3 linked regions of the Schizosaccharomyces pombe genome follow. The protein of the gene in region 1 interacts with the protein of each later gene in a pairwise test. Each region holds a gene or a part of one and is shown on either strand. Other genes may lie near its edges.

The links. The genes of interacting proteins can lie anywhere in the genome.
Region 2: the proteins of mss51 (region 1) and yop1 interact in a two-hybrid assay, tested with the Schizosaccharomyces pombe proteins (one large-scale study listed by BioGRID).
Region 3: the proteins of mss51 (region 1) and tvp15 interact in a two-hybrid assay, tested with the Schizosaccharomyces pombe proteins (one large-scale study listed by BioGRID).

What each region holds. Positions count from the first base shown.
Region 1 is NC_003424.3:4,158,556-4,163,874, forward strand, and holds mss51 (splicing suppressor Mss51), read right to left. Parts: upstream 3,598-5,319; 5' UTR 3,434-3,597; coding exon 2,297-3,433; 3' UTR 2,043-2,296; downstream 1-2,042. Other genes in the region: phosphatidylserine decarboxylase Psd2, read left to right, coding at 273-1,823; deg1 (tRNA-pseudouridine synthase), read left to right, coding at 4,245-5,319. UniProt on the Schizosaccharomyces pombe protein: Has a dual role in the assembly of cytochrome oxidase subunit 1 (cox1). It has a regulative function on cox1 synthesis, acting as a translational activator specific for the cox1 mRNA, and it also binds to newly synthesized cox1 protein.
Region 2 is NC_003421.2:2,194,173-2,199,397, reverse strand, and holds yop1 (ER membrane protein DP1/Yop1), read left to right. Parts: upstream 1-2,197; 5' UTR 2,198-2,285; coding exon 2,286-2,336; intron 2,337-2,469; coding exon 2,470-2,752; intron 2,753-2,875; coding exon 2,876-3,090; 3' UTR 3,091-3,605; downstream 3,606-5,225. Other genes in the region: Rnase P/MRP subunit Pop5, read left to right, coding at 1-124; DNAJ domain-containing protein Psi1, read left to right, coding at 4,306-5,225. UniProt on the Schizosaccharomyces pombe protein: Required to generate and maintain the structure of the tubular endoplasmic reticulum network and the vacuole. Induces high curvature in membranes and causes membrane tubule formation. Involved in membrane/vesicle trafficking.
Region 3 is NC_003424.3:1,313,570-1,318,263, reverse strand, and holds tvp15 (COPI-coated vesicle-associated protein), read right to left. Parts: upstream 2,240-4,694; 5' UTR 2,166-2,239; coding exon 1,767-2,165; 3' UTR 1,621-1,766; downstream 1-1,620. Other genes in the region: tnr3 (thiamine diphosphokinase Tnr3/ Nudix hydrolase fusion protein), read left to right, coding at 1-1,171; fsv1 (SNARE Stx8), read left to right, coding at 3,800-4,543. UniProt on the Schizosaccharomyces pombe protein: Golgi membrane protein involved in vesicular trafficking.

The sequences.
Region 1 (5,319 bases):
ATCTTTATCCCGTTCCTCGCTTAAGTCTTCCGCGAAGTTTTGTTTGTCTACTATTCCTTTATTTGTTTGCAACAAGACTTGACTTTAAAACTTAAACTCACATTTTTCCTTGGAAGCACAACCTCTACATTTATTCGCTTAGTTCCACATCTCTGGATTTTCCAAATAGACATCGAAGGTACTTAAACTTCTAGGTACTTTTTATATTTTTTTTACAAGTTTTCAATTTTAGATTTAGCATACCTAACTAAGGAAATTTATACCGATCAAACATGCGTCCTCGTCAAAGATTTCGTCGTTTTCATCCTCGTTGGTCAAAAGTTAACCTTCGAGGCTTCGGTGGTGTCGGCGCTTTGAAAGGTGTTAAGGCCCTAAATGGAATGAACGTACGCGTTTCCATGAGATTAAAATGGATCTCAAATCGTATCCATCGCATTCGCAGGAGTCGCCGCTTGGGGCGCCTTTCTATAAGTGTCCGTCCTAATGGTTCCTGGCAGGTATATTTATTAAGCTCTCTTCCATTAAGGAGCCTTTCTCGTGTCTGGGGACAATTTAACAGAGCTCATTTACCTACTTTTTTGCGTACACCCGGATTTAAACTATATGCTTGGGTTTTTGGATGCAATTTAAGCGAATTGAAGGATCCTGATTTGACTCATTACCGTAATTTTCAAGATTTCTTTTGCCGTGAGCTTCGTCCAGAGACTAGACCCGTTGATCCTGTTTCTCCTGTCGTATCACCGGTAGATGGCCGTATCGTTTGTCAGGGAGTTGTCGATAATAATCGAATTCAGCATGTCAAAGGTCTTTCTTACTCTCTTGAAGCTCTTTTAGGAGGTATATCAAGTTCGAATCCTTTAGTCGTCAACTTTGAGGATGAAATAACTCCTGATCTTATTCAAAAGCACGAGCAATTTGCTGAACAACACTCAATTTCCTTAAATTCTAATAACCGCTATCGTAAAGCTGATGCTTCAGCTGCCGTTGTGGATGAACATTCTGACGAGGAAGCACTTCTTTGTGCTTTTACTGACCATCCGCATTTTTATCTTAATGACTCTCGTAATTCCTTAAATTATTTCTGTCCCTTTTCTGCCTTTGAAGATATTTCAAATTCCGTTCGTAGCTCATGCGGAAAACGACTCTCTCCCTCAAGCAATTTCGATCTGAATAACCTTGGAGGTGACGATGACTTGAGGAGTGAGTCATCTAGTGATTTTGAATCTGCTCCTGCTTCAATTCTTGAACACGAACCAACTAACTGGGATGATTGGGTACAAGAAGCTGACGTTACGGACATTGACTCATTACCTTGGCACAATATCCGTCCTGGCAATAAGCTGTTTTACTCTGTGATTTACTTAGCACCAGGTGACTATCATAGATTTCACTCTCCTGCTGATTGGGTTATTGAATCTAGGCGTCACTTTTCAGGTGAACTCTTTAGTGTTTCTCCATTTTTGGCGCGAAGACTACACAACCTTTTTGTGTTGAATGAACGCGTAGCATTATTGGGTCGTTACGAACATGGATTTATGAGTATGATTCCTGTAGGTGCAACCAATGTGGGTAGCATTGTCATTAATTGTGATCCTACTTTATCTACCAATCGCCTCGTCTTACGGAAGAAGTCATTAGGTACGTTTCAAGAAGCAGTTTACAAGAACGCTTCTCCTGTTTTAGACGGTATGCCAGTTAGTCGTGGCGAACAAGTTGGTGGGTTTCAACTCGGAAGTACCGTTGTTTTGGTATTCGAAGCACCTGCCGACTTTGAGTTTTCCACTTATCAAGGCCAATATGTTCGTGTTGGAGAGGCCCTCTAAACAGGATAAATCGGGATAATTTTTATTAATCGCTGGATTATCCCTGATATAAGTTATTGTTAGTATGAGAATGTGTGTATTCTAAATAATCATTTGTATGTGATGAATTAATTAAATTAACCCATTTGCTTTTGATCTTCTTTTTATTTAAATTGATATTGCGTTTATAAACCCATAATTATAGTTACTATTTACTTAATTACATTCCAATTTAAAGAATTGACACCCAATAAATTTATTTTATTGATACACCTTTAAAGTAGTAATGAAAATGTTTAAAAATAAGTATGGTTAGCTTGTTTTGACATAAGGTGGCATGTCTTCTTTTCAAAATTCGTAATTGATAATCATTACATATATACTAATATTTTGTTTATTCACAATCCAAAATTTGGACCTTAAAATTCATTAATAGATTGCTTTTAGATTAGAATATGAAATTGGAAGATGGTAGACGACTTAACGGACAAGAATTACTCTTTGGAAACATTTTGGACATTATAATAAAGGGCTCTGAATCCAAATACTTCTTGATTTGCGTGATAAACTTCATGAAGGTTTGAATCATCAACAGACCAGCCTAAGCTGGCAAATTTATTAACAGTTGGCAATAACAAGGGCTCAATTGAATCTTTCAAAACATTATTAAGAACTTCCAAATCTTTGGTTGTTCTTTGAGATGAAGGACTTGTGAGCCATACAGAGCAACGAGTCGATACCAAATCGTGAAGTGTCGGAATCCACGATGAAGAATAAAGTGGATGACTTATAAGAGGCATCGGAAGAAAAAAAGTATCATAGTAGGGGTCAAAAGGCTCAAAGGCTCCAACTCTATGCAAATTGTGGTAGTAATCCTGATGAAAATGAAGGCTGAGTGGGGAAGGCAAATTGGGTTGCTTAGAAGGAACAACAACTTCAGGTCCGATAAAATGCAATTGAAATAAACGACCTGGGAACAAAAAGTTCAATCCTTGTAACCAAATTGATGGTGGTAATGAACATTCTTTGGTAGCACCCAAAACGAAAATTCTAGTGGGTCTGGGATCAGTAGATTGAGCAGACAAAGGACGATGAAGCATATATCGTAGAGCAGTTAATGATTGTAGACCCTGGGGAGTTAACCCATTTTTTAAATTATAAGGAGAATTCTTGTGAAGGATAGCGCCGATTGACATGGGATATGTTAATAAACTAGTAATATGTCTAGCAGTTCTAGACGATTGGAACTTTGGGAAATCGCGGGTATAGAAGAATGAATCCCATGACAGAAGAGAAACTACTTCATCTTCTTCCATGGGTCCAGGAAGTTTGAGTAGTTCCGGCAAAGGGTTTGGTCGTGCTAAGTCATGATAGTCTTCATTAATTTGGCGTAGTTTTGGGATAAGGGATTGGTGAATCTTGTCCTGTTCCCAATGAGTTCTATTACAATGAGTAGGAAATCCAGATTCAGGACACTCATATTCCACTGACTTTCCCGAAATTGGACACCGATAGACTTGTTTGATATGCTCAGAGCGACGGCGAAGAGCCGTTAAGGGAGAACGCGATAAAGGATGGAATAATTCATGAGTTGGGGATTTCTTCTTGAAGAGATTTTTTAAAAACGACATAAGTAAAAAAAATATAAGCGAAACGTCACTCTTGAACCAAAAAACAACCTTCTACCGGTTTCAATGTAACTATAGGTAATGAAATAAATTTTTATGTCGGTGTTGCAGCTAAATTTAACAAGTATTGATTTAGGTGAACGTGTTTAGTAGCAGACGAAGAAACTAAAATTAAAAATGTCAAGGAACATAAAAAATACGTTAACAAGGCAAACTATTGAAATGCTTAGTAAAAAAAATTAACAAATTAGTTCGTAGAAGCAATTGCTTTGTTCATTAGCAACCGACATTCAGTAGCGAATTTTATTCTTTAAAAAAATATTAAGTATTGAGTTGACTCAACAAAGAGGTGATTTTCAATAATGTTGATATTAAAGAACTATCTAGTAAATCAATTGCATAACGGGAAATGCACTTTCTTTATTGGAAGTCTACAATGCAACTATAAGGAATACGAATCATCTCGAAAGTAGCTGTGTTAATCTAAGCTTCTATAATTTTCATTGCTCGTAATGTAAAGTGAACTCAATATTTTAGTAACAGTTCCAGCTGGCCCAACAAGACTGCAAACTGACCATACAGAATCCCAAAGCTGTTGTACTAATGAGCAACTAAAAATATATCTGATAAATTCTCAATGTTACATAGATGATTTATAACTTTACTGCGAAAATGTCTGCCTCTTATGACAAGCAAGTCATTAATTATCAGAGCCTTGCGAACCTATTCGTCTGCCACCTGACCTCGTCAAAGGCAGTAATTAAATTGGCAATATAATTCAGGCAAGATTTTTCAATTTTCTAAAATCCTTCGAATGCCCGCCTCCAAATATGCTGGATGGTCTCGAGACCAGCTAATATCCAGAATTTTAGAATTGGACGGGAAATTGCAAAAAAATACAAATTCACTTCCCAATAAAGAAATTGAGGGGAAAAATGAAGTAATTAAAAATAAAAACAAATTGGATAATGGAAATGAAATAGAACCCCAGCATCTGAGCCAAGAACTAGTTTTGCAACATGCGCTTCAGGACGCAAGTAGTCTTCCAAAACTGAAACCTGTCAGACCGTTTCAACTAGAAAAAACAGTTTTTGTTGCTTTTAAATTTGCCTATTGTGGTTGGAATTACAATGGTCTTGCCTACCAGTTAGAACCGACTCCTTTGCCCACTGTTGAAGGAAAGGTGTTTGAAGCGCTGTTGAGAGCTCATCTCATCACTGATCCTTCATCATGTTCCTTTAGTCGATGTGGACGTACTGATAAGGGAGTTTCAGCCATGGGTCAGGTTATATCATTAAATGTACGACATTCAGAAAGAAGACCTATCATATATTGTGATGTATTGAATCGCCTGTTGCCCGCAGATATACGTATTACTGGCTATGCATTTCCACCAGAAGGCTTTGATGCTCGATTTTCCTGTAAACAGCGTCATTATAAATACTTGTTTACTAAGGATTATCCCGGTGGTTCTCTTGACATTGATCGAATGAATGAAGCCGCAGCACTTTATCTAGGTGAGCATGACTTTCGAAATTTTTGCAAAATAGATGCTTCTAAACAAATTACAAATTATCACCGTCGAATTCTCAGTTCAAAGGTTATTTGCATTGATCCCAGTACCGGTCTTTACGCTTTTGACCTACAAGGAACTGCATTTTTATGGCATCAGGTACGATGTATGATGGCCATTCTATTTTTAATTGGTCAAAAGCTTGAGCCGGCCTCTCTCATCAATGATCTTTTGGATATTAAAAAGGTCCCTACTAAGCCAATTTATGATATGGCAAGTGAGTATCCTTTGATTTTGTACGACTGTGACTTTGATAATATTGAATGGACACTACCTACGGATAGTCCTACGACTGCTCCTCGTATCGCTAAACATA
Region 2 (5,225 bases), on another chromosome or scaffold:
GCCTGTAATAATTCGCGTGGTTCGTGTATCTGGTACAATAAAAAAGGCAGAATTAGCTGCCATTGAACGAAATAAATCAGAAATTCATAACATCTCTCTGATGGATGAACCTATTGAAGTTTAAACCCTCCATCTTTGGCATTTGCTGGGTTCGCAAGTTTTTACTTTGACTTCACCTCTAAAGATCGAACTCAAGACGAAATTTTTTTTATGCCTTCATGTGCTTCAAACTTATATATTGATTCCTTGGTTTCGTTCCAAAACCCAATTGATGCAGTGTGTGCAGAAAGTTGCTGCTGTATCCACCTTATTTCTCATGGGTATATTCATATAAAACTTTAATTCATTAATCCAGAGAGGAGGCATATGTTTACCCATAGCTGTTTAGATTTTGAAATTGAGGATCTGGGAAGATCTAAATAACAAGTATGCTGCATTTCCATTGCCAAGTATGAGTAAACTCTTTAAACTATACAACTATTCAATCGCCAAAAAAAAATTTGATGAACTTGGAGCTATTAAGTTAATACTTTTCTCTTGGAAAATGAGATATCGTCTGTTTTGGGAATACCTTGTTTACTATTTTCATTGTATCATCTGTTAAGCTTGACAACGGCCAAAAAGAGTTGTATCTACGAATGCATACTTTTGCCCATAAAAAAATAAACATTTACGTATTGGAATGAAAAAAATCATTGCAGGTCTCAGTAAACATCTCATGAATGTGTTTTCTTCGTGGGAAGGTACATCCTTAATATATCCCAATGATTCTAAATTTCCAGCAATCGTTATCAATTTTATTTTTTACAGACAAACGAATAATTTATTTAGCTGTTGACGGATGCTATAATTCTATGTCGTTAAAGACTGTATACACTTTACAGTTTGAAAAGTTTGCTTGACATTTACCGGTGCTTCTACAAGGTCTAAAGTAAGAAAGATAAACCAAAACTATTGTCATTACAACAGTTAACAGTAGCCAAAGACAGCTATAATCCCAACAAACATATAAAAATTCCTTAAATTAGGGGATTTTCTCAAGTAACGATTTTAAAAACCAGATAACAATCCTACTGAGTCAAAGAAGCAACCATATCCTTATAACGAAAACATCAGAAATTACTCAAATGATTAACAATATCAATAAACTAATCTATCAATTATTTTCGATGAACATTACTTCTTCTTATCCTTGATTAACAGCTATGTATGCTATTTTATGATATCTTCTCTTGAAAACCCCAAAAAAACAGTCACATTAAGAAGAATATAAAGGGCACTGTGCTTTCTGCTTTTGCATAGTTCTTTCACCTGGAGTGTGCTCATCTAAATAGTAAATAGGTAAGTTTCATCATTTCACAAATGGAGATTTCAGAGGATGCGAAATATATACCCAAATTGTATAGCAAGGATAACGGGGTAATCGTTTTGGTTGCCTTCTTGCAGTGATAAAGCATTTTGTCATAGTTACACTGATGAAATTCTTCATTTGCTTAAAACTTTTTGGTCTTAAGTTTGAAAATTCTTTACTAATTTTGAAATAGATAAAAGAAGCCGTTTTTAACAGTTAGACACCATCCTATTCTTGAGATGGTTTTTTTATTCGATCCACGAGTTTTTGATAATTACCGATACTATAAATTTAATAAGAAATTAAAAATTTACTTTATTAAGTCAAAACTTGTTTACATTTAGTAGTAATTTAATTACAATTGAAAGAGTAATGTTGGTAGTGATATATATCTATGCAGACTTGTATGTAATGTAGACATTCTTTAAATCAGAGAACCGTAAAGTTCGGTTGTCCTCCTTAACTTTAGATAATGCAACCGTACATATTTTGCAGGGCTTGACTTTAGCGAACTGCATAGTCCAGTTGTTCATGGTTTGGTTAAAACAATACAACGTAGCATACTGTGGAAGTAAATCGCTCATTTTTGCTATGGTTTTTTTACTGTTAAATGCTTTGGTAATGAAGTAAATAAACTTAGACAGAAACACAAGATGACTGTTTGATCGGCTGAAAATACATACGGCAATTCTTTTGAAAATCGGATTGTATTTGTACTATACAGTATCGTATTTACTGCGACTTTCCTATGCACTAATTAATATACCACACTGACGGTACGAAGCGAATGCCTGTAATCGTGACGTTGTTCACTACCACCGATAGAATAAATGCAAACTTATCTTTAGCAAACAACTCCCATATTCTAAGACAAATAGTTCGTTCAAAAGAAAAATTATTGAACACTCAGATAATTTAATTAAGCAGTACCAAAATGTCTTTTCAAGTTCGTGTTAAGCAGAATATGCAAGATTTGGATAACAGGGTATGTTAGCAATAAGGCAGGATATCCGATGGAAGCCGCTTTACGCACTCGGCAATATAGGCTATTATTAGTATCTTGTGATTTTAGAAATTATTCTTTCTATTCAAATTTGTTTACTAACTTTTTTTTCCAGTTGGCAGCCTTTCCTCAACTCAACAGTTTGGAAAAAAATTTTGGTGTTAGCAAGCTTTATGTTTTTCTTACTGCAGCTGGTATATATGCCTTGTTCCTTTTCTTGAACTGGGGTGGATTTTTACTGACCAACCTTCTGGCATTCGCGATGCCTGCCTTCTTTAGTATCAATGCTATTGAAACTACTAACAAGGCCGATGACACTCAATGGTTGACCTATTATTTGGTAACTTCATTCCTCAACGTTATTGAGTACTGGTCTCAGCTAATCCTTTACTATGTCCGTAAGTGTTTAAATTTTTTGTATTTAGAGGCGTGATTATAAGATCATTAAGGATCTAATAAATTTTGCTCTCTGCTTTTAAATTTATTTTTTTTATTTACTAACTGGGGATTTTCCTTTTTAGCTGTGTATTGGTTACTCAAGGCTATTTTCTTGATTTGGCTTGCTTTGCCTAAATTCAACGGTGCTACCATTATCTACAGACACTTGATCCGTCCCTATATCACTCCTCATGTGATCCGTATTTGCAAAAGCGTTTCTCGTCAAAATGCCGCTCCTGCGCCCACAGCCTCTTCTTTTGCACATACTACCGCTACTGACATTCCACCCTCTATCTAGAGATTTCTGAACAAAATGTTTGGAATGGACTTGTATTCCATAGAATAGTTATGCTATACTACTCGATGAATGATTGAAAATCATACAACGGTAACGTTGTTTTCTTGTTTTTTCCCATCACAATTGACTATATTTTGGACAATTGCAAATAATTCAGTGTTTCAGAAGCTTTGCCTTTCTGAATCTCTTTCCTCTAGTTCTGATTATTTTTATTGACTGTCAAAAATTTAAAAAAATTTGGCCTTTTATATGCCGCTTTCGGCATGGACCTCGGCAATGTTGAAGGGTTTATACTATATGTATATCGCGTAGTCTTTTTGAGCAGTACAAAATTATAAGGCTGCATGCTTTACCACAGTACCGAAATTGCAATAGACATTTATTTTATGGCAACTATAGTAACTTACACACACATCCCAAAAGCAATAACCAGACTACAGTATACTTACAATGATATACCCATATTCGAAATTGCTGAAAAAAATTCTGAAGATTAATAACAAAGTACTATCTCAAAGTAACTGCCGCTTTGTAGAATTGTAATATAAAAATATCGCAATCAATTTATATTTTGTACAAATACATACAATACGTCTTTCAATAAACAGTTAACCCATTATAGCGTCGTTAAACACAATAATGAACTCTACCACTTTACATTGTGCATTTAAGAAACTTCGTTAAACCACATCAGTTTCTCGCTTATACTCGAAGTTTCTAGCATTACATCATGCCATGGTATATGGTCCGTCCCAGCGGGTACAAAAACATCTACTGTCTTCACACATTTTGTTTCGTTTCCAAACGATATTTAGAGTGTATTGCAACGTTTACATTCCATTAATATTTGGTCGAAAGAATAGTATTTCTTATTGACTTTACATACACTACTTTGGTACTATTTTTCTTGAAAATTCAGGAACATTGTACAATTTGAATTGTAAGGTTTTCTTACGAAATATATATAAAGGAGTTATAACACAAGAAAAGTGGAAAAATAAAACTTTCATTTCGTTTATTCGAGAACAAATAAACCGAAAAAGCTTCGCTTTTGTTTGATTTTTCGTTTCTATTTATTTCTCTTCATTTTTCTCGTTTTTTTGATTCCACCATAACGATTTATATTGTGTTTGTGTTTGATAAAGCATCTACACTCGCACTTTCCTTTTTCATATTTCACACAGATAGAAAAAACAACAATTACTACAAAACATCATGGTAGCAGATACCAAATTATACGATTGTTTGGAGGTCCGCCCCGAGGCCTCTGAGGCAGAGTTAAAGAAGGCATATCGAAAACTTGCACTTAAATACCATCCAGACAAAAATCCTAATGGTGAGAAGAAATTTAAAGAAATTTCTCTTGCTTACGAAGTATTGAGCGATCCCCAGCGCCGTAAGCTTTATGACCAATACGGTATCACAGAAGGGAATGCTGCTCCACCACCACCGGGTGCTGAAGGTGGCCCTGGTGCAGGCTTTGGCGGCTTCCCAGGCGCCGGACCTGGTGGAGCTCGAACATTCCACTTTAATATGGGTGGCCCAGGTGGAGCTCAATTTTTCAGTGCCAGTGATCCGAACGACATTTTTGAAAGAGTATTTGGTCATGCCTTTGCTGGCGGTGGAGGCATGGGCGGAGGAATGGGTGGAATGGGTGGTATGGACGATGATATGGACATGGATGGAGGTTTTGGTACGCGGACTCGTGGAGGTGGTATGCCTGGCGGATTCGCTAATATGTTTGGCGGTGGTGGAGCAGGTCCTCACGCCAGACGTAGCCATCCATCTTTTGGTGGATCCCGTCCTAGTCAACCCCCCGCTCAAAACGAGGTTATCACTCGACCCCTTAACGTGAGCCTGGAGGATCTATTTACCGGATGTACCAAGAAGATGAAAATATCTAGACACATAATTGATGCTTCTGGTCAATCGGTGAAAGCGGACCGAATTTTGGAGATCAAAGTAAAGCCTGGATGGAAAGCTGGCACTAAAATCAAGTTTGCTGGTGAGGGTGATGAGAAACCGGACGGAACTGTTCAAGACATTCAGTTCGTGCTAGCTGAAAAACCTCATCCTGTTTTCACACGCTCTGGTGATGATCTCCGTATGCAAGTAGAGCTATCCTTGAAGGAAGC
Region 3 (4,694 bases), 2.8 Mb from region 1:
TGATTCAGTCATAGGCACTATGATAAAGGAATTTTCTGAAGAAGCTAATTTGGACGTTTCTTCTATGAATCTTATTCCTTGTGGCACTGTCTCCTACATCAAAATGGAGAAAAGGCATTGGATTCAGCCCGAGTTACAATATGTATTCGATTTACCTGTTGATGATCTTGTTATCCCAAGAATTAATGATGGAGAAGTCGCTGGTTTCAGTTTATTACCATTGAATCAAGTACTTCATGAACTTGAATTAAAAAGTTTTAAGCCAAATTGTGCTCTGGTTCTTTTAGACTTTTTAATCCGTCATGGTATCATTACTCCACAGCATCCTCAGTATCTCCAAACTTTAGAACGGATACATAGACCGTTGCCTGTTCCTGTTGGAAAATATGAAAGAGGGGATTCTTTTGAAGATACTTCAAAGAAAGCTGAAACGTGTGTTCCTGCAAAACCCCAAAAAGCCACTCATCAGCTAGCTCCATGTAAGGCTTGGTTACGTGACTATGATACTGATCAAAAGTTTGCGGTATTACTATTAAATCAACCCATAGATATACCGGATGATAGATTTCGTACTTTATGGAAAAGAGCTAGTATCCGAGTCTGCGCAGACGGTGGTGCTAACCAATTGAGAAATTACGATTCTTCGCTCAAACCGGATTATGTCGTTGGTGACTTTGATTCGTTAACAGATGAAACTAAAGCTTATTATAAAGAAATGGGAGTCAACATTGTATTCGACCCATGCCAAAACACCACTGACTTTATGAAATGCCATAAAATAATTAAAGAACATGGGATTGATACTATTTTTGTATTATGTGGCATGGGTGGAAGAGTTGATCATGCCATTGGTAATTTAAACCATCTATTCTGGGCCGCCTCGATTTCTGAAAAGAATGAAGTATTTCTATTAACTGAATTGAATGTATCAACTTTGCTTCAACCCGGAATAAATCATGTTGATTGTCACGACAACATTGGTTTACATTGCGGTCTTCTGCCAGTAGGACAGAGTGTGTATGTTAAAAAAACCAGCGGCCTTGAGTGGAATATTGAGGATCGCATTTGTCAATTTGGAGGACTCGTCAGCTCTTGCAATGTAGTGACAAAAGCAACGGTGACTATAGAGGTCAACAATTTTATAGTATGGACAATGGAAACACGTCTATAAGACCTGTAAGTAAGAAACTCAGAAAGAATATTCATTATTCCCAACAGCTCAAAAAAATTAAGATATTTATTTAGATATAAAAAATATAAAACATCTATAGAGTATAAGCGGTAATGGTCATAAAGCAAAAAGATAATTGATTAGAGTAATGAAATAAAATAGAATTTTAGTAAAGCCAACTAACATTTTGAACTGCAAGATACATCTCAGAAAGTGAAGAAATAGAAAAAAATCATAATTTTTCATATTGTTGAGCTTGACATGTCATTTTTATCCTCCTCGATACACCCGACAGTTCAGAATCCAAGCTGGACAATTAAAGGTATTTGAATGTATAACCCTAAAACCCATCACAAATACCATAGCTACTACGCTAATGTTGATATACAAAAATTATACATAGTTAAGAGATCGTATACATATTTATACTCATTAACTACTCTGAGGATGACTGCTAAAGTGACTGTCTTTTAGAACACCTACCCTGAAGAAAACGAATGTATCCAGAATAAATCATATGTAGGAGGACATCGGGAAAAGAGGGGGGTAGGAACAAGAACCGAATCAAATAATATAGTTAGAAATAAAAAAAAGTCTACACTTCATCAACGTTATCATCCCAATCATTATCACGCATGCTTCTGGGAGCGTAGTCTTGCAATCCTGCTACGTAGTTTGCACCACAGTAGGCGATACCTGCAAGAAGAACTAAAAAGCCTAGGAAAGAAGTAAACCCGGAGTAAGAAAAGAGTAAAGTACCCATGAAAGCGTAGAAGAAGCCCCTTCCTAAGAATGAGAACATGAACGATCCATATTTAATAGCAATAGGAGGAATTTCCTTTTCTAAACCAATAGTTCCCAAACCGAAAACGATGATGAACAATGCAAGTAAAGCGTTTACGAAGCTAAATGAAAATAACTTGATAAATCCGCTTAAAACGAAGATACCACCTACGCCCAAATTAATGGCACTAAACATTTTTGTTTTATCCATTGTGAATTAAGTGTATGCAACCAATATTAAATTTTTCAAGCAATATGTATTTTAGTCGATGTTTGCTTAAAGACAAAGAGAAATGCAAGTTACTAAGCCTGCCTATGCTTACCGATGCGGTCATGCATATTTACGAACTATTGAAATACGGTAAATAAAAATAACGAATTCCATAATTCTCAACCAACTTTTTGTTGTTTACAGAAAATGAATAATTCAATTCATCGAAAATGCATTTTGTTTTCTATAGCATTCTTTGTACTGTTTTTGAAGTTAAAAACACTATCATTTAGTAAATAATGTACTTTCGACCCGGCTTTTTTTTGAGACAACTGTTGTTGACAATTTTAAGGTCTGTGGGTCAATTTATATATTTGTCAAACGTTCGTAAACAAATGTATTTGTATCTTAGTTTCATACGAGCTCCTTTAGCTATATGTGATCTACTCTCACTCGGGATCTACAGGGCTGTAAAATTTTTTGCACTCAAGTTTCACGCGATTATTATCAGATGCACCTGAATAAAAAAGAATAAAGTAAAATAAAAAGCCGAATGTTTTATAACGTAGTAAAATTCCTTCTTATTTTGATCGCTTTGCCATTCATTTGATTATGTTTATAATGATAATTTCACGTGCAATGTCAACTTTGATAGACGGCTACATCTATTTCTAATTCGTAACGCTATAAAAAAAAACTCCATTTTAAACTGAGAATAAAGCAAGAAGTCGATTAGCCGAATATAGATATCAGCATGATTCGTTTTAAACGGCCCAAAGCCTTGTATATATTTGAGTAATTTTCTACTGTACTTAATTGTCTGTAATTAAACAACTATTTGTTACTCCTACCTTGTTACACTTGGATTTAATACTCTGGAATTAGTGTACTAACTCCTAAATAAATATTTAAGTAGTATTTTTCTTTAAGATATTTCTTTAATAAACATTCTCTTCTAATGAAAAGAAAAGCGTCATTATTGGTATTTTAGTTTTCAGAGCAAAGAGGTACTTAACATTTATTATGTCGCAATTATTTTATATATATATTATATTAATATTTTGTAATGAGAAACCTAGGCCTAATAGTGTAGTGGTTAACATACCTCTTTCGGGTAATCCCCACTTGTATGCTGAGTTTAGAGGTGATCCCTGGTTCGAATCCTGGTTAGGCCCCTTTTTATACTGGGCTTGCTGTATAAATTTATCTGATTAATTTTGAAACTACGCAAACCAACTTTCAATAATTAAAAAGTTTTCCTTACACCTTGCTTGATTACCTTTTAATAGATGTGAAATAAGAACTACTAAATTTGTGATAAATACCGAAAACAATCAGAAGAGTCGAAAAGAAGCATTCAAAAAATTGTGTAAATAACGAGTAGGTTTCTAATAATACGATAATTTCACAGGATGCCTATAATGGATCTGGCAGCTAATGAGCAAATCATTTTTACTTTTTTTTTTATTTAAAACATACGAAAAGATTCTCTTTTTTTGCTGCAAACAAAATTTACTGTAATTGAACCTAGAATTGGTAGCAAAGGCATTACACCGTATTACTGTAAACTTCACTAATGTTTGTGTTTTTAGGCGCATGATGAACATGATTACTCAAGAAAGTAACCAGCGACTATGTCAAATTTGCTTCTGATCATTGACTCGGTTTCACAAAAAATAAGAGACAGGAGGAAGTTGGAAGAGTTTGGACAGAATCCCGATGAAGAAATTGAGTCTTCATTGAAAGATGTTCGGCAAGAATTGCAAAAACTTAATGAGGAGCAATCGCGATTAGAGAAAAATGCACAAATCCCAGAGTACAGAGTACGAGAATCCGAAGCATTTCTTATTAGAATGCAAAGGAGGTTAGAGTCTGCTGAGGAAGAGTTTGAGAAGCAGCGGCGTGCATCCTCAATTCCTGCTGACGGAACAAGTGCCTTTTCTGCAAACCCGCAAGTTGCAAGTACGAATAATAAGTTAACTCCCCTTCCTTCTTTACAAAAAACGACTTCGAGTAGTGAGGGATCTGATATTGAGATGGAGGCCATGTATCCGGTTGATGGCAATGACCCTGATCCCATAAACGTAAACGTTTTGGCTCAAATGCATCAGCAAATGCTCAACGAACAAGAAGAATCTTTAGGAGGGATCGAAGCAAGTGTCCAAAGGCAAAAGCGGATGGGATATGCAATGAATACAGAATTGTCCGAACAAAATGTTTTACTAGATAATATGAATAATGATGCTGATCGAATTGAGAGGAGGTTTGATCATGCAAAAAATCGATTAAACAAGGTCAGCCGAAAGGCTAAACAGTATCCCAGATGCTTTATTATTTTGCTCCTTTGTGCGTTGTTATTACTTGTGGCTTCCATTTAGGGTGCAAATAAATATCACTTAGCAATTGTACTTGCTGTAACTCTGTTACACTTTCACTTAATTCTTTTATTTCACGTCCTCTTTGAACTAGGCTATATAGTTCTTTTATTTATATTTAATAACCGTGATATTTACGAACTTTTTTTTTACG